Linked DNA regions of Saccharomyces cerevisiae S288C. The protein of the gene in region 3 purifies or fractionates together with the protein of the main gene of each other region. This does not show direct contact. Each region holds a gene or a part of one and is shown on either strand. Other genes may lie near its edges.

Evidence for each region.
Region 1: the proteins of TAF4 (region 3) and TAF3 purify together in Saccharomyces cerevisiae (affinity purification with mass spectrometry; 7 studies listed by BioGRID, with this or other methods). This does not show direct contact.
Region 2: the proteins of TAF4 (region 3) and TAF2 purify together in Saccharomyces cerevisiae (affinity purification with mass spectrometry; 4 studies listed by BioGRID, with this or other methods). This does not show direct contact.
Region 4: the proteins of TAF4 (region 3) and TAF8 purify together in Saccharomyces cerevisiae (affinity purification with mass spectrometry; 2 studies listed by BioGRID). This does not show direct contact.

What each region holds. Positions count from the first base shown.
Region 1 is NC_001148.4:533,123-536,582, forward strand, and holds TAF3 (Taf3p), read right to left. Parts: upstream 1,582-3,460; coding exon 520-1,581; downstream 1-519. Other genes in the region: mRNA-binding protein RRP12, read left to right, coding at 1-287; RET3 (coatomer subunit zeta), read left to right, coding at 1,896-2,465; RQC2 (Rqc2p), read right to left, coding at 2,698-3,460. UniProt on the Saccharomyces cerevisiae protein: Functions as a component of the DNA-binding general transcription factor complex TFIID. Binding of TFIID to a promoter (with or without TATA element) is the initial step in pre-initiation complex (PIC) formation.
Region 2 is NC_001135.5:200,674-207,325, forward strand, and holds TAF2 (transcription initiation factor TFIID subunit TAF2), read right to left. Parts: upstream 4,725-6,652; coding exon 501-4,724; downstream 1-500. Other genes in the region: MATALPHA1 (transcriptional co-activator mating type protein alpha), read left to right, coding at 1-296; YCR041W (uncharacterized protein), read left to right, coding at 238-570; YCR043C (uncharacterized protein), read right to left, coding at 5,588-5,971; PER1 (Per1p), read right to left, coding at 6,204-6,652. UniProt on the Saccharomyces cerevisiae protein: Functions as a component of the DNA-binding general transcription factor complex TFIID. Binding of TFIID to a promoter (with or without TATA element) is the initial step in pre-initiation complex (PIC) formation.
Region 3 is NC_001145.3:274,291-277,761, reverse strand, and holds TAF4 (Taf4p), read right to left. Parts: upstream 1,718-3,471; coding exon 551-1,717; downstream 1-550. Other genes in the region: PLB2 (lysophospholipase), read left to right, coding at 1-201; MVP1 (Mvp1p), read right to left, coding at 2,210-3,471. UniProt on the Saccharomyces cerevisiae protein: Functions as a component of the DNA-binding general transcription factor complex TFIID. Binding of TFIID to a promoter (with or without TATA element) is the initial step in pre-initiation complex (PIC) formation.
Region 4 is NC_001145.3:41,533-45,609, reverse strand, and holds TAF8 (Taf8p), read left to right. Parts: upstream 1-2,034; coding exon 2,035-3,567; downstream 3,568-4,077. Other genes in the region: CTK3 (Ctk3p), read right to left, coding at 1-547; DAT1 (Dat1p), read right to left, coding at 819-1,565; VAN1 (Van1p), read left to right, coding at 3,816-4,077. UniProt on the Saccharomyces cerevisiae protein: Functions as a component of the DNA-binding general transcription factor complex TFIID. Binding of TFIID to a promoter (with or without TATA element) is the initial step in pre-initiation complex (PIC) formation.

The DNA.
Region 1 (3,460 bases), on a different chromosome or scaffold from region 3:
AACTCGTTGTCAAGGGGCAACCTAAACCCTCTACTAATGTAGACGATCCATTGAGTGCTGTGACAAGCGGAATCAATGCGTATCTAGAGGCTGTGAAAAGTGGTCCTGTAAGAGGTCAAAGAAACAAGCTGAAATTCAGGAAAAATGGAAAGGACTCTGATGAATTTGGCGATGATGATGATGGTGAAAAGGATAGTAGGCTAATGAGAGGAAGAGTAAATCAAGGTAACAAGATTGGCAAACATAATAAGAAAGGTCCAAAGTTCAAATCTAGAAAAAAATTATAGAAGATTGAAACTGAGCAATATGGCTAATTACACACCTGGAGAAAAAATCAGATATGTATATATAAGAATATTATAATACTGTATATTAAAAATGATTAAAATAAAGAAAAAAATGAATCGGGCGTTTAATTGCTTATTATCTTGAAGAAGCGAAAGTACACTATATAGTAATAATGTGAGGTTAATTAAATATGGATGAGATAATGACGAAAGAAAATGCAGAAATGTCGTTTTAAAAGTAACCCCCATAATCTAGTGAGGTTCGACGTTGAAATGTGCTGTCCATATCTTCCTGCTCTGCCCATTTAGTATCAACATTTGAGTCGAATTGAAACATTGATATGTCACGGTCATCACCATGAGGAGACTCTGTTAAACTTTTATTGTTCTCTTTAAAACTTTCCTCATTGTTATTTTCTTGAGACTTTTGGTTAGGGCCTTCCACTTCGCCAAGTGATTCAAGCTCCTCATCCTCAAATGAAAGAGTTATATTTTCTAACCTATTTTCTTTTCTCATTATCGGCAGTTTGCTAGTTACAAATGGATTTTCTTGGATCTCTGTTAAGGCATCCTCATCTCTTGGGGTCATCGCCGAAGGCATCCTATCTTCGTTTGTTATGGTAGTGTGGTGATGGCGGCTTAGAATGGAAGATTTATAGCCTGCAATATGTGGTAAAGCCGGTACATTTTGAGATTCTTTTTTGGAAGCTCTTTCAATCATGTTTATACGTTGTCTAGCAATGACTAATTTGATCCAATCATCTAATCCATTATTATTTATTAGATCTTCTATCAACTCTGTTTTTCTATTCTTTGTTTCTAATTTCTGTTTCGCACCCTTGTTTTGCAGTAATTGATTGAGATAGTCAGGTATTGCTGACAAAGGATCAGATTCTTTTTCCTCACTTTGTAGTAATTCTACTGTGGGTAAGGCAGTTATTCGCGCGTCGGTCAATTGAGTACTATAAATACACCAGTCCTTGAACTTTTCCATTCCTCGTGAACTTGATAATTCGGAGTTTTCATCATAGACATCCAGAACGTTCGTAGGCTTAACAATACCTAGATTTTCCAGAGCCAGAGTTATATCTTGTAAAGCAATTGTATCGTCCTGATCACATCTTGCCTGAGCGATAGAACTGACCTCTGATGCTAACAAACTCAAGAATTTTGCATAGAGATCGGTCATGACATCCACCAGACTGGGCCTTGCCCTGTCAAATCCTTGTGCCTTCAATAATTGGAGAATAGATATGCGTAGTAGAGCAAAATAGAAGTCATTATTTGTAGTCATAGCAGAGGAACTCTATTGACCCAAAGATATCGCTGTTTTCCGCTAGTAGGTGATTTGGAATTGCTCAGGAAGCTACTTCAAGTGTTATATTAGCATACCTTCATCATGCAATATGAAATTACTGAAAAAAAAAACTAAAGCATCGCGAGCTTACCCGTTTCGCCACTTCTGTCAAGTGAAAAAACACGTTTGCATTGTTTAGGCTACAAGGTGTGGAATATCGAAGTTATTGCTAGACAGAAGTTCTTTAGGCATTTAGGTTTTGTTTGTGAGCTGGCTTGCTAATTTTGAGTACTGTGCATCATTGTTCCAGGATGTCTTCTTTATCGCTATATACTGTTCAGGCTGTTTTAATACTAGATCAGCAAGGAGAACGAATTTATGCAAAGTATTATCAACCTCCTCATAGATCTGATGAAGGACACCAATTGCTCTTCAATTCGGTGAAGAAGCAAAAAGAGTTTGAGAAACAACTATACCGTAAGACTCACAAGCAAGATTCGGAGATTTTAATCTTCGAGGATCATTTAGTCCTTTACAAAGAATACATTGATATCACGATATATTTAGTTGCTTCGCTGGAAGAGAATGAAATTGTTCTTCAGCAAGGATTTTCAGCAATCAGAGGAGCTTTGGATTTGATTTTGAACTCAGGAATGGACAAAAAAAACATCCAAGAAAACTATGATATGGTTTTATTAGCTATTGATGAAACCATTGATAATGGTGTTATCCTCGAAACTGACTCTAACACTATTGCATCCAGAGTTTCTAAACCACCTACGAACGAACCCCAAATGGCATTAGATTTGGATAAGGGTTTCTTAGGCGCGTGGGGTTTCGCAAAGAGCAAGTTTCAAGAAAGGTTACAGCAAGGCTTATGATCACAAGGCAAAGCGGATAGAAGAAAATTTTAGCTGGTCTTATATGGTATATATGCAGTGTCTTACTTTCTCCCTTCCATATATATGTATCTACTTATATATATAAGTATATGTTGCTCATTTAGAAATGATTGTCACCTCATGCTAATCATTTTATTCTTCTCGTTGGTCTGTGATGAAAAATAATGAAAAAATTATAATTGCTGTCTATTTTCTTTTCATCTCATATGATTTAGCGTTTTTTTTTGCCCTTCTTCGAAGAGTTACCACCGTTCTTGGTGGATTTCTGCCCAGCGATTGTTACTTTTAACTTGTCGACACAGAGCAGAAGAACCAAGTCCTGTTCCTTCAAGCCTTTAATCATTTCATGTTCTTGGGGCCAATCCATTTCGTTGTCAGTTGAAGAACCGTCTAGTGGTCTACTCTTGAAATAATGTAAAATTTCAGTTAAAGTCTTAGTTTTCTTCGCACTTCCCGGTTGTATTTTGACTTTGTATTTATATTTCAAAAGCGCAGGCCAGGGGGCAAATACTGGTATAATATCATCAACCACATCGCCCTTATCGAGAGATGGTTTTAATTCGGACTTGTGTTTATCATAGTTCACTCTTGCTTTCTCTTTTTTGGTGAATTTTAAAGCCTGTAGTCTTCTTTGTTTCTCGCGTTTATTCTTTCTATCTTCTCTAACTTCTCGCTTCATTATTTCTTCTTTCTTCCTTTGTTGCTGCTTTTCGATACCCTTCAAAGTACCCAAGGCCTCCAAACGCAAGAGACGTTCAGTTTCATCCTGGTCGGCGTATTTCTTTTGAATTTTCTTCAATTTTCCTCTTTTACCACGGACGTTACTGTTTATGTTTTCGATTAAAGATATCGGAACACCTGGTTCATCAAGGATACGCTGCGTACTGCTATTGTCATTTTTGGCTTTAGCATTTCCAGAATCAGAGTCGGTATCGGATGATATGGTGCAATGCTTTTCGATGTCTTTTTCAAGA
Region 2 (6,652 bases), on a different chromosome or scaffold from region 3:
TTCGACAGTTCAATAAGACATCTATAAAATCTTCAAAGAAATATTTAAACTCATTTATGGCTTTTAGAGCATATTACTCACAGTTTGGCTCCGGTGTAAAACAAAATGTCTTGTCTTCTCTGCTCGCTGAAGAATGGCACGCGGACAAAATGCAGCACGGAATATGGGACTACTTCGCGCAACAGTATAATTTTATAAACCCTGGTTTTGGTTTTGTAGAGTGGTTGACGAATAATTATGCTGAAGTACGTGGTGACGGATATTGGGAAGATGTGTTTGTACATTTGGCCTTATAGAGTGTGGTCGTGGCGGAGGTTGTTTATCTTTCGAGTACTGAATGTTGTCAGTATAGCTATCCTATTTGAAACTCCCCATCGTCTTGCTCTTGTTCCCAATGTTTGTTTATACACTCATATGGCTATACCCTTATCTACTTGCCTCTTTTGTTTATGTCTATGTATTTGTATAAAATATGATATTACTCAGACTCAAGCAAACAATCAATTCTTAGCATCATTCTTTGTTCTTATCTTAACCATAAACGATCTTGATGTGACTTTTGTAATTTGAACGAATTGGCTATACGGGACGGATGACAAATGCACCATTACTCTAGGTTGTTGTTGGATCTTAACAAACCGTAAAGGTAAACTGCCCATGCGGTTCACATGACTTTTGACTTTCCTTTGTTTGCTAGTTACCTTCGGCTTCACAATTTGTTTTTCCACTTTTCTAACAGGTTTATCACCTTTCAAACTTATCTTTATCTTATTCGCCTTCTTGGGTGCCTCCACAGTAGAGGTTACTTCCTTTTTAATATGTACTTTTAGGATACTTTCACGCTTTATAACAATATCAAGTTTACCTTCTTCATTACTATTCATCTTCGCCACAAGTCTTCTCTCCCTTGGTGTTTCCAATCTAACTACAAAACTGTTGATTAGGGTGTACATCACCCTAACAAGATCATGTATTTGCTTCCTCTGGTACAAGCTAAGAACAGGTAAATTCAAAACATCCCAGAGTAATATCTTCAAAGGGCTATACCCTTTAAACATATCTCGGCATATTTGTATTAACCCACTAATATTTTGACGGCCAATCTTTTCTATTTTTATTTTCATATCATCGACGTAATGACCACTTAAAAACAACTCAATATCATCCTCACTTTTTATATTTTTAACTTCATTGTGCACAGATTGGACGGAGGACTTAATATCGTCACTTATGGTATCCAAACTACCATCCATAACAACTAGATTTACACATTCAGAAAGCACATCAACACTTTTATCCCTAATATAAGAATCCTCATGGAAGCAAAGTATTTCAGTAAACAAAACAAGGGCATCCTTGTTTTTTAAACCACCTTCTAAAAGCATGATTTTCAAAACCATTAAAAACTCATTCTGAAAGCTTTCCCTGGAAATATCTCCGTTATTTATACCTAATGTTAATGTATGCATTATCATTCCTGTCAATTCCGTAAAGTCATAAGCACCCACTTTATGCAATTTGTACTTAGCATACATGATAGTAGTCTTAATCAAAGACTCGTATGATGAAAGCCAATTCACCAAATTTTCGTACCTCAATAACTGAGTCTTAACTTTTTCCATATATGCTTTATCTTTATACTCATTTAAAGCAACTTTAACAACATTTTCAATCAAGCTGCGGACGTACGCATCATCACTGTATTTATTTTCACCATTCTCATTATAAACAAGAATATCCAGTAAAAATTGCTTCACCAATTTTGGACATTTACCATTTTCATTTTTCACTTTAGCCAAATATTTGGGAATATTACACTGTAAGAAATACAACTTAGGATTCTCAAAGTTATTACTCTTTGGAATATTAGAGTCTTCTAGGCAAAACAAAATCTGAAAAATCTGAATTAAATGCTTAACACCGCCAGTAAAATCCGGATCATATACGTATTTACTAAGCGCTTCGCACGCCGCGAGTCTTATGCCAAAAAAGTAACGCTCGTCGATCGCCGTTCTAAACAAAATACTTGAATAAACAAGTGATTTCACACCACCATTAACAACGACGTCCTCATAATATCGTATGGCTTCTAGTTGGGCCTCTATGTCCCCATCTTGTCTCAACTGAGAAGAAAACATGTAATCCGGCTGATTAATGTGCATTTGGCAAATCCATTCCAGATCAGAGTCTATGCGTATCCACTCAAATGCTTCGTTTTGCTTAAGCAATTCATTACTCTCAGACGTACGATTAAATTCCGTCAAACTGAATCGGGAACACTCTTCGGGCGACATGTATACATTTCCTAGACAATTCACATCCACAACAATAGGCTTCTCCTCATTATTGTTTTCAACACCATTTTCATCATTTGCACCACCACCTCTTTTCCTTAATCTTCTGTACTTTGTATTGTACTGAATATCTATTTTTGTGAATGTATCTTTGATTTCCACAATATGCTCATACGGAGTACCATCGTGTTCATGGATCCTTATAGTCATCGAGCCCGTGAAGCATTCGGTTCGGTTCAAATCTGGATGTTCTAAGTGGTCTAGTGCACTTTTGAAAAATCCTTCCTCCCCTACCACTTTTTCGTGGCCAAGTTCTTCATCTTGAACTTGCCTTATACCCAGTTCTATAACCATCCTCTTCCTATTAAATCTTTGGGTGACACGTAATATGGGTACCCCAGACCCATATACCCATTCGTTGAAAAAATTCTCTAATTTACTTTTATTAACTCTTTCGCAAACATGTTGAAAATGCGATGAAGTCAACGAATTATTCGGTAAATCACCAGACATAGCTTGAAGGAAAATTTTAGGTAATACTCGAGACATACCGAAAGATCGTTCTGTTTTAGTCATCCTTCTGTCAAGTATGTGTAGTATCATCGGTGCCTTCAATTGTATAAAGGACAAATCTTTAGAAGACCAAGATATTGGCCTAGAACTGCCGGTAAAAGTGCTCCCAATAGGCGGTTTCTCGAAGTCTTGTTCCACAATCGCCTCACTATTACGCTTTAATTGATATTTATACGTGTTATTACCCATTAATTTTTTGGTTACCTGAAACACCATATAACCAGCAATACCAAGACAGCACCAGTAGTCGTTCATATCTAAAGGAGTTATATTCACACAAGACCATTGGTTAGCAAGTGCCCATGCTAACTCATTCGTAGTACTGAATGCTTTATCAATAACTTCTAGAGGGTACAATAATCTGGTATTACAAATGCCTAATGCTGCAAAATCCATATGCTTAGAAGGTGCGGTAGGTAAAAACACCATAGAGTAACAAGTGAAAGGATAAGACCCAAATTCTTTCGAGTAGAAATCTATAATTTTTTGGCAGACAACTGTCGAATTTATAACTGTTAACTCATCTGTTTCCTGCGTCGGAAGTGTGAAAATTTGAATGGGTATAATATCCGAACCAATGTCGTCATCCATAGTATCGTTAACATTGTCCACAACATTCTCTCTCAACTTGTCTTCCTCTACTTCGTCCTCGGCATCAACACTTGGAGGTGATATCAAAGGTAAAGACCATGAATTAAAGGCGCCTATAGCCCAACCAATGTGATGTGGAGCCACAGGATTAATTATCTGAAATATGCATTTTTTTTTCGTCAAATCAATCGGGTGCGGAAGTTCTTTAATATTTGAATATTCTGAACAACACACAATCACATCCCTCAAACTCGGATTGTTGCTTTCCTCAATATTCCGCCTTTCCTCTTCCCCTTCCTCTTCCTCTTCGTCACTTTCGCCTTCCTCTTCTTCTTCATCATTATCTTGTGCATCTTTGCTTTTACTATTTTTGCCTTCTTCGTCATTTTTCAAGTTAGAATCCTTATCTTCGTCTTTGATAACTCTTGCCGGCTTCCCCTCTTCCTCTTCATCGTGCTCAGGCGTATCCTCCTTCTCTTTTTCACTCTCTTCTCCATTTTGTCCGATTAATTTCGAAGTACCTATATTTTTAACCAATCTCGGTACGCTGAATTCTAACTCCCATGTAGATTTTTCATCAAGCAAATCGACACATGGGACCCAATATGATGCAGAACTGCAAATCTCACCATTTGAAGTGTAAACGTTCCATAACCAGGGCTTGTCAGCATACACAGTATCGAATTTAATACCCGACTTTGGGTTTCTGATTTCATATTCAATTTGTAATGTAATTGGAGTGAAAACAGATTCTTGAAACCCAGGGGTAGTCTTAATTGAAGGAGTAATCGGAGTGTAATTACTTAATGCATTGGCGTCCTCCAAAGATATTTTGATGGAAGATGGTATTTTTATAGTTAACTGGGATTTAGAGTCCGTTTCTGGGTATTCATTCAAGCTAGCAAACTTAGATCTCAAAAAATGTGACTGTTCAATGGAATTGTCGCTGTATAATACATTTTGTGAAGTCAATCCATTCAAATTTGTTTGAAGTGGGTCGTCATGAATAAATTGATCACATCGACGATTTTCGACCAGAACATCTTTAATAGTCATTTCCTTGCAATCAAAAGTTACATATTCTAGGTTTTGGATCAACGGAATGATTATTATAGTAGCGCTACCGGTAATGCAGTGAGTAGCTAGATCTATATCCAACGAGATTTTTTCATGGGCAACTCTAAAATTTCTAAACTTCATCTCATGCAAAGTGCTAGATTCACTAACAATGGCTCTAGGAGTGGCGTTTTTGGAAAAGGACATCATGAAGTCCACCTATTTATCCTGTTGTCACCTCTTCACTGTCCAAAACTTCATCAAAAAATACTTTTACATCCGTTCCATTTTACTATAGTTTTCATCTTACGCAATTTACCAATTGCCCCATTCGGCAAAAGTATTTAAGTGTTACCCGGTTACTTAAGGTAATACCAAAAATATTCACTATATTGAAAGTTCTATGTATTTTATTGAATTAAATAAGACTGATTTTGTAGCACGATATCCGCAAGAATGATTCACAACCATTTTAGATGTCTGCAGCTTTTTTTTTTTTGATTTTTTTACTAATTTTAGTGCGATTTTAGAATAACTCTTGGATTAAATAAATAAAAAAAATACAATTATCACTCAGATTTTGAAGCAATCTGATAAAAATTGCAGCATATTATTATAACAATTCTAGTTCACTACAAACAGCACATTATCAAGAAACTTATGTTTGATGGACAGTTTCTTCAAATAATTGAATGCAGTAAAAAATAAAAAAAATAACCATGGAATATGTTTCTAAGAATTCGCAATCCTTGTTTATATAACTATAGCTTTTTTTATGTTATAAGAAAACATTTATTCCTTTAACCAAAAGGAAAAAGGTAACAACCCCACTTACCCCTCTGTCAATAGTTAATCATTTTATTATTTTCAACTTTAAACATCCAAAAAAAATAAAATAAATTAAATTAAAATCAAATAGAAAATGCATTATTACTATAATAATATCTCTATGTAGACATATACATATTATTTCATTGCTTTTTGTAATAAACGAGGAAAATGGTGGGATAAAAAAATGCATTGTTATTCCTTCGAAACCAGCAGTAATAAGTCGTCCTGAGAACGATGTAGATTTAGATCTTTACATGTTGGTACTCTAAATCACCTCCTTCCATCTTAAAGTCGTCCTTCTTCTTGCTCCAATCAAACTTGCTTTTCTTGCTGCTGGGACACCAATTTAAACTTATTAACCAGATAGTAAACAAAATCATGAAACAACAGAAATAACACCAAAAATGATCGTAAACGTGACCCCTTATGATATCACACACTGAATAATCATACACTTCATCGTCTATAACCAGTCCATAATTGAAATAACCGAGTCCGTATTTCAATACAGGTTTATATCCACCTTCATCGGTAAACGTACTTGGACTCAAAACTGTGCTTAGATCATTAGTTCCTTGGAATGCATGTTCTCTCAATAAGGAAGCATCAAGTGGAGCTGGGATCATCCTTTGCCAAAGTACGTTAAGAGCGCTTTCACTGCCTACTGTTGCCCCAAAAATTTCTTGGCCTTATCTTGGCACAAATATTCTTTTGCATTTAGTTCTATACATACAGAAAGAGCGAAAAAAAAGTGAAAAATAAACAGAATGTGATAACGGTAAAAGAAAATCAAAAATAAACAAAAAAAAATACATATATAACTATTATTCATGATAGTAAACAGGTGAATTAAGATATTTAGTACAATTGTCTATTACCCCAATAGGCATAATCCTCGAGGAAAAAGTCGTACAATACCCACGAGGGCCATATTGTGCACAGATGCCATAGCGCATGGGCATCAATCTGCCATTCGTAACTAAAAAAGTCAAACAGTTCCAATGACATGGCCATTGTGGTTACAATCACAAGAAGAATTGGAATGACACACAGTTTGAAGATTTGCCGCTTGAAGCTGGAGTACGCGGTTTTCTTGAATTCGCCCATTAGCTTTTGCTTTTGCAGAGCATGGTAGTTTTGGCATGATAACATTATCAATAAAATATACTGTAAAACACCGAAAAAAATGTTGAATCTCATGTTGTATGTGTACGACCAGTCAACATAGAGTCTCAAGATGTGCAGGGCAAAGATTGCCGCAACTGACGCAGTGAACGCTTGTGCTATCTTGGGGTACAGGAACATGG
Region 3 (3,471 bases):
TCAAATGTCACTTCTAACTCAAACTCTTCGTCAAATACAACTTTAAACTCAAATTCTTCATCCTCTTCAATTTCTTCCTCTACAGCTCGTTCTTCTTCCTCTACGGCAAACAAAGCGAATGCTGCGGCTATTTCCTATGCGAACACTAATACTCTAATGAGTTTGTTAGGTGCCATAACAGCATTATTTGGACTAATTTAGAAGCCCTTCTGAGAAACAATACATAATACATCCTTTCACCCAAAAGGATAATGACAAGTAAATGTATAAAAATGTGTATTAATATGAAAATTTTTTTCCCGATTATCACTCCTCTTTCCGCTATTTTTGGTAGAAGGATGCCTAACTTCAAGGATTGATATATCTTCCTTATTATAAAGTTAAAATGAACAAAGCAAAAAGGTTGAATGGTCCTCAATAGCTTGGCGATGACTTGACTAAGCGACACCAACCGGCCTTCTTTATGTTAGTCAATCTTGTTTTTTTTATATCCTAGTTTATTTGAAACACTATACCTTTAAATATTATAGACAGTATAAGAGATGAGCAATTAATCTCTGATCTTGGCATAACCCTTTGAAATAATAGTCTGAACGCTGTTGCGCCTATTTTCGAGAGCAAAGAGTAAATCCCTCATTACTATACCAGGCTCCTCTCTAGCTTCTCTAAACTTTAGCCCACTTTCTCCTCTAGCCGTGATGTCGGAGGCGACTTTGCCTGAAGATTTTGCTCCCAAGGACGTCGGCTTATTTACTGATGAAGTTAGCCAACCATACTGTTTTTTACTACCTGCTCTAAGGCCAGCCGTAACGTTCGATGCTCTGTGTAACGTCTCTTCGGAATCAATCTTATTTTCATAATCTTCCTTCTCGAGTCCCAACGCAATTCTTTTTTTCACACGCCTTTCTTCTTCTTTTTTTTGAATTAGTGCAATGGCTCTTAAAGCCGCAGAAACTTCACTTCTTCTACCAGAATTTATCTTGACTGCTTTTCTTCTATGTCGGGAGATGACAATGGCATTTGTTAGGATATCTCTCATATAGTTTTCGCAGGCACTTGACATCATGTCCAAAATTTCAGGATTCTTTGTAGGGGTCAGGTTGAAGTTTTGCTCTTTTCCGACTTTCCTCATATAATTGGAAACTTGTTCCGGGTGAAGGAATGGTAAATGGTTGGGGATCTTAACGTTATTTGTTTGAACTTGGGATTTTGAGGCATTAATAGATGAATTTAGAAGAGCCTCCTCCTCCCTAACATCGATACCTGCGGAAAAAAGGACATCTTGCATTTTATTTGGGTCTGATTGTTGTTGTGCATTCTGTCCTGAGGAGTTGGATGCTTTGCCATCTTTAGAATCTGCTTTACTCGTACCCTTGTTTTTTTTTTTATCATCCTTTTTTGGTAGAGCTAGTCCAGCAGGGCTAGAGAACATATTGTTTGTATCTCCATTACTTTCAACTCTCAAATTAGTTGTGGGTGATACATTTTTAGGAAGAACAGAATCATCCGTATTACCTGCCGCATCATTGTGAGTTGAAGATACATGTGCGGTTGATTTTATCTGGCTAGGCGACGGAAGGCTATGTGATAGCTCACTAGCTTTACCTGGTGACAAATTAAATGCTGGTTTCGTTTCTGGGACGGTATGTTGATATTTAGGCGTGTCTGACGCTGATACTCCAGTGCCATCAGATGGCTTTTTCGGCGAATTTGCCATTATGTGATATGATGCCGAAAGACAATATGTGCACTACCAATCGATAAAAGCACTTTAGATTACGTGCAGGTGAGGTTATACAGAATGCTGATTAGAAAAACTTTCCCATTTGAGCTATTACACGGACCACATTCGACTTATCGATGTTCAGTTCATTCACTTTTTCAAATTAAGATCATTTATGACGAATATTGAATACTGGAGAATACACATTTTTAGCGGGCGTCGTTTGTCCGGCATATTATAAGGCTATCTAATCCAAATTATCGAAAGATTTGTTACCTTCTAATAAATATGGGAACCTATAATATCCGAATTAGGCTTCATACACTGTATTTAAAATTGAAAAACAAATAAATAACAATTTATAGTGGTACATATCTTTACTCTATTTACCTAATTATTTCTCTGTTTAGTACGTCAATTACATCTGTTGGATATCCTTCAATAATGTTTTGGCAGACTAAGTGGTTAGTCTTCACTCCGTAAAATTTATTCACGAGAAATCGGCATATCCATGATGCTTGTGACGAGCTTTTCCCACTCATTCAGTTTGAGACCGGCATGGTTGGAGTTCAATTTTGCCCAATCCTGGAAGGCACGTGTTATTAAAAATTGGGTTTCCTGAAAGATTGTAAACTCTTCCAAAATACATTGTCTTATCAACCAAGCTCTGTTTGATTGCTCTATTATGCTTCTTCTATCCTTCTGTATGATTTTTTTTATCCTGTCGTACTCTGCTCCACTGACATCTGGTTTTCCTTTCATCGATTCCAATTTCTCTTTGTTCAATTCGACATGTCTTTGCAATTCAACTACGTTATTTGCAGCCATAATTTTGTATCTCTCAAATAAACTTCTCAAAGAAAGTAAGATGTCCGTGAAAATTTTGAATTTTGGCGATAACGTTCCCGATATTTCTTCTGTTTCTTGTTTGCAGATACTACTCGTAGTTTCTAGGTGTTTTTTAATTATACTCAAATTGTTATTAATGTCCAATATGGTATCATTTTGTTGTACCGGATATAGTTTTGGAGTCACTTCGCTAAAGTTATCCACTAGTGTCTCAAAAAAATTTCTTTCGTGTACCATTTGCATAATTCTTTTTTCATGCCTTTCCAAGAGAAGCGTGATTCTATACCATAATTCCATCGAGGTATCGATACAAGATGCAGCCTGGTTCCATTGTTCTGCAAACTCTTTTTTCCACATTTTCATAAATTCTTGTGATATCTTTTTATCAGCGAATTCGTTTGAAGTGTCATAGGTTGCTTGCTTTCTCCAACTTGTTAAGTCAGTGCGTACGGTTAAAAATGTTAACACTAAATCATCATTACTTAATTTAGGGTGTTTCATTACCAAATTAATGAATCTAGATAACCCTATTCTTCTTTTCTTCAAAAAAAGCTGGTCTGCGTTTTGGGATCCAATTCTTTTGGGAGGTAGCTCAGGGATCATTCTAAAAGGGTATCTTTTCAGCAGAATTTCTCTTAACCATAAGAAATCAGAGTATCTTCTTACGACAGTACGTTCTTCAGAAGGCGAGGTACTTGGAAGAGCAATGAGATGTTTCACTAAATAGTTTGCGTGCTTGAAAAGTAAACCCTCTCTTTCAGGTATCTCTTCAATGATGATGATGTCGGCATCTAGAGGTCTGTATGTTTTTCTAACGTTGTTAGTCCAATCAAGTAAGTCGGCTTCAGATTCTTCTATATTCTGATCTCTAGCATCATTCTTATCTATAACTGTCTCAT
Region 4 (4,077 bases), 230 kb from region 3:
CTTTATAGTCCTTTGTAGTCCTCTCTGTCTTGACACTGTACCAGGTAGTAGCGTCTATGAGTGTGGTGTCTGATGGTGTGTGCGTGACGCTGGTGGCGTCGTAATGGATTAGTTTGGATAAGTCAAGGAATAGCTCTTTACAGGTGGCTTGATTCGTGAGGGATTTCCAGTCCTGGCAGGGCAGACAAAGCTCAAAAACCAAGTCTATGTCCATGAGTAGCACTTCGTTTAACACTTTTGTAACATTGGTATTGGAATGGCTATGCGGATATAAGTTTCTTATTATTCTAACATAGTATATCACTACGTCCAGTCTATCTAGTGGGTCCATCTTCATGGTTGTATCGAACAAACATTGGTGGAAGTCCTCGTAGTGATGTCTGTAGTTTCTCAAGTAGAACTGTATAGGGTCATTGTTCAGCTTTTGTTGCGATGACGGTGGTGTGGTGGTCGACGATGATGTGATAGAGTCTCTGGTCTTGTGCAGCGTCTTTTGCAGGTTCTTCAGGACCTGAATGAATTGTAATCTAGCTTCAAGAGAGTCCATCCTTGCTGTATACCTTTACCTGGCAGTGCTTTTGTGAGAAATTAACTACCATCTGGTATTCTTTTTCCTTTTCTTTCTAAAATTCTAGTTTTTCATGTTGTGCTTAATTAGGAAAAACAGTGAATTTGAACAGTTGCTGAAGTTGAGATCAGTCTTAAATATACATTGCTCAAAGAAGTACAAATACATATAAATATAAATATCTATGGTTTTCTCAACTAGTTATTATGTGGCATATACGAATGTTTTAGTGGTATGCTGGAAATGAATGTCATATGGTTGCGTTTTTCTCTGTAGAATCGGAATTCTTAGTGATATGTGCTGCCGGCGATGGTTGCGTCCGTGGCTGATTTGATGCTGCTGTGCTTGTGGACAGATCAAGATATGGTTTCACAATGAAAGGCCGCTGTAAGTAGTTGTAGGGCCCCATCAGGAAAGAAGATGACGGGTCTTGATTGCTCCCATTTATAGTAAAGTTCATGTTCACGTTCACGTTGCTGTTAAGGTTGTGGTTTGAATTATGATTAATGCTGTGGTCGGCGTTGTAATTTGAATTCACGTGGCCGCCAGAGTTTCCCGTTGAAGATAACAGGATCTTGTGGGTGATGAACGGCTTGGGCGGAACGACGTCCACTCTCTGTTGCTGTAGTAGTTGTTGCTGCTGCTGCTGCTGCTGTTGTTGTTGTTGATCCATGAATGACTGATGGGTATAATCCAGAGATGGAGGCAATGAAGTTGACGCCGCTGCTGCATGCGGCGGTGGTGCTGCTGATGAATTATGAGCTGAGTGAGACGACGGGCTGTGCGTCAACTCTCTCAGTGCGTCCACAGCTTCCATGTCCCTGGAACTAATAAGACGCGACTCCTGATCTTGCTGAGACCCGTCGGTCTCTTTACCCCCAGTATCTTGCCTCCTCCTCCTACCACTGCCAGGCTTTCTTCCCTCTCTCAACGTCTTCCCTTTTCCGGGCTTTCTGCCGCTTCCAGGTTTCCTTCCTTGTGCCAAAGTTTTCGCCATCACCCAATGTCCTGCTCCAATATACTTTAGGACAGTTTGTAGATTCACAAGGTGATCTGTTCAAAAACTCCACTGACAATAATAGAAATTTTTTTTTTTTCATTTTCTTTCAAAACTCATCACCAAAAAAAAAAAATTGATGCATTAGCATCGGCTTCATAAACGAAAAAAAAAAAAAGAAGTTGAAAAGAAAACATGATATAAATAGTTGCAAACTAAAGTAAGATAACTGAAGATGATTAGTCCTGTTTGCATACATAGTTCTGTTCTTGTTCTACGCTGATGCGATCAATAAAGTCGCTTGAAACGCGACTGGTAGAAGCCAGCTTAAGCACAAATGGTGTATATGGGAGTGTTACCCGATGCTTTTATGTAGAAAATCTTGAACTCTTTAAAAAAGAGAGTAAAAGCAATGGAGAGAGAGGCAAGCAAGCAAACAAACGTGTAATTGAGGGACTCATAAAGGGCAATGACTTCCAAAACGTCAGAAAGTGGTACCGGTACCCAAAGTACCATAGTTCAGCTGAGGAACCTACCGGATTTGACGGAAATTAGTCACTTGGAAATAGATGCTCCCGTAGTTGAAATTCTAAAGAAAACAGTACTTTTCCAGTTGAATTCGTTGAACATCTGCATTTCAAACTTTGCATTGGATGAGCTGGTCAACCTCGTGACCGTCCAAATGGACGGCATGTTTCGGAACCTGCACAATTTAACACTTTTACAAAGAAGGTCGCAAGCTTCTCAAGCAGATTTGAAATTGTTGCTTCGAGAGTTTAACCTGGATGCGCCCTCCCTTTATCAGCAGTTTCAGGCCTCAGAATTCATCAAATCGAAGCATTCCACGGAATATGAAAAATTGATGAGCTGGTCGTCTCTTGCTGCTTTACCGCATAACGAAGAAGATGAAGAGGACGAATTGAATAATATCGAGGAGCAACAGAACGAGATCAACGTTTTGCTGCCTCCCTCTAACCCACTGGAAAAACAGATACCGAGTTGGCTGCCCAACTTTCCGCCTGACCATACCTATAAGTTTACACCTGAGTTCAACCATCCAATTACTGATCTAAAAACCATCAAGAAAGAAATAGTAAAAGAAAGCCAAGAGTCTGAAAAGGCACTATTGAACTTGAACAAAAGTCTCTCCCACATATCATCAGCGTCAAATACCCCGCAACCGCCGGGTTTAGACGATGAGGACGCTATCGAGCAACAATTGGAGATTTGGGGCAACGCGCTGGAAGAAAGGAAACCAACCATAACTGAAAAGTCCTTCAATGAAAACAATATCGAGCAGTATGCGAAGTATAGAGTGGAATTGGCGAGAGAACGTGTCACGAAATTTGAAGTGAATCAGTTGAAAAGAACAAAAAATCCATTCTTGAAAATTTCTGAAACTCTCTACCTTCCAGAGAGTCCTCACCAGTCTCACAAAACCATACAAAAAACCATAGAATTGCAATTTCGTAAGTCTATGACACTATTCATGCACAATTTACCTAAGGTCCAGAAGTTGAAGAAGGAAAAAATACGAATGGCCAAGGAAGAAAGAGCAAAATCGCTAAAACGTCGGCAAGAAGAGCTTATTTCACAACGAACAAAGAGGGAACAAGATGAAGGCCATGATCTTGAGCTTCTACTAAATAACGAGCACGCAAGGGACGCTGCAGACGACACGACCACCCCTAATGCATTAAACAACTCTACCATAGTTATCAACACAAACGCCGAGGATGAGGACGATGACATAAACTTATTTGGCATCTTAGGGAGCAGTGAAGATGAGAATGAAATGTCGAGTATGCCTGCGGAGAACCTGGTCGCGGAATCGGAACCGCCAACAATGACAGCGCAAGATACTACAAATACTACACCTGTAGCACATAACACAACCAATATCGATGCTACTACAAGTCACTCTCCTCATTCGACGCCTAATGAAAACGCCCCGACATCTCCTCCTGCAGATATAGCCACAGATCACGATATAACTATGTAAACAACTGCTTTCAGTGAACCAGTGTTTGTCCCTAATATAATAATACGTATTCAATTTATCTCCGGAGAGGAATTTTTTTTTTTTTTTTTTTTCGTTCTTCGGCGACTATACCGAAACAAGGCTTGAAATATTTAGAATCAAAGAAAGTTTACGTCTTGTAAATTAGTAAATGGTAACGTGAAAGAAGTAGACGTAAGGGTGCAGTAACAGTCATTTGAGCTTGTTGACCTACCAATTAACACAAAAAAATGGGCATGTTTTTTAATTTAAGGTCAAATATAAAGAAGAAAGCCATGGACAATGGACTAAGCCTGCCCATTTCAAGGAACGGTAGCTCGAACAACATCAAGGACAAACGCTCAGAGCATAACTCCAACTCATTAAAGGGCAAATACAGGTACCAGCCGCGCTCCACACCGTCTAAATTCCAGCTTACGGTGAGTATCACATCTCTTATTATTATCGCCGTTCTGTCGTTATATCTCTTTATATCATTTCTCTCCGGAATGG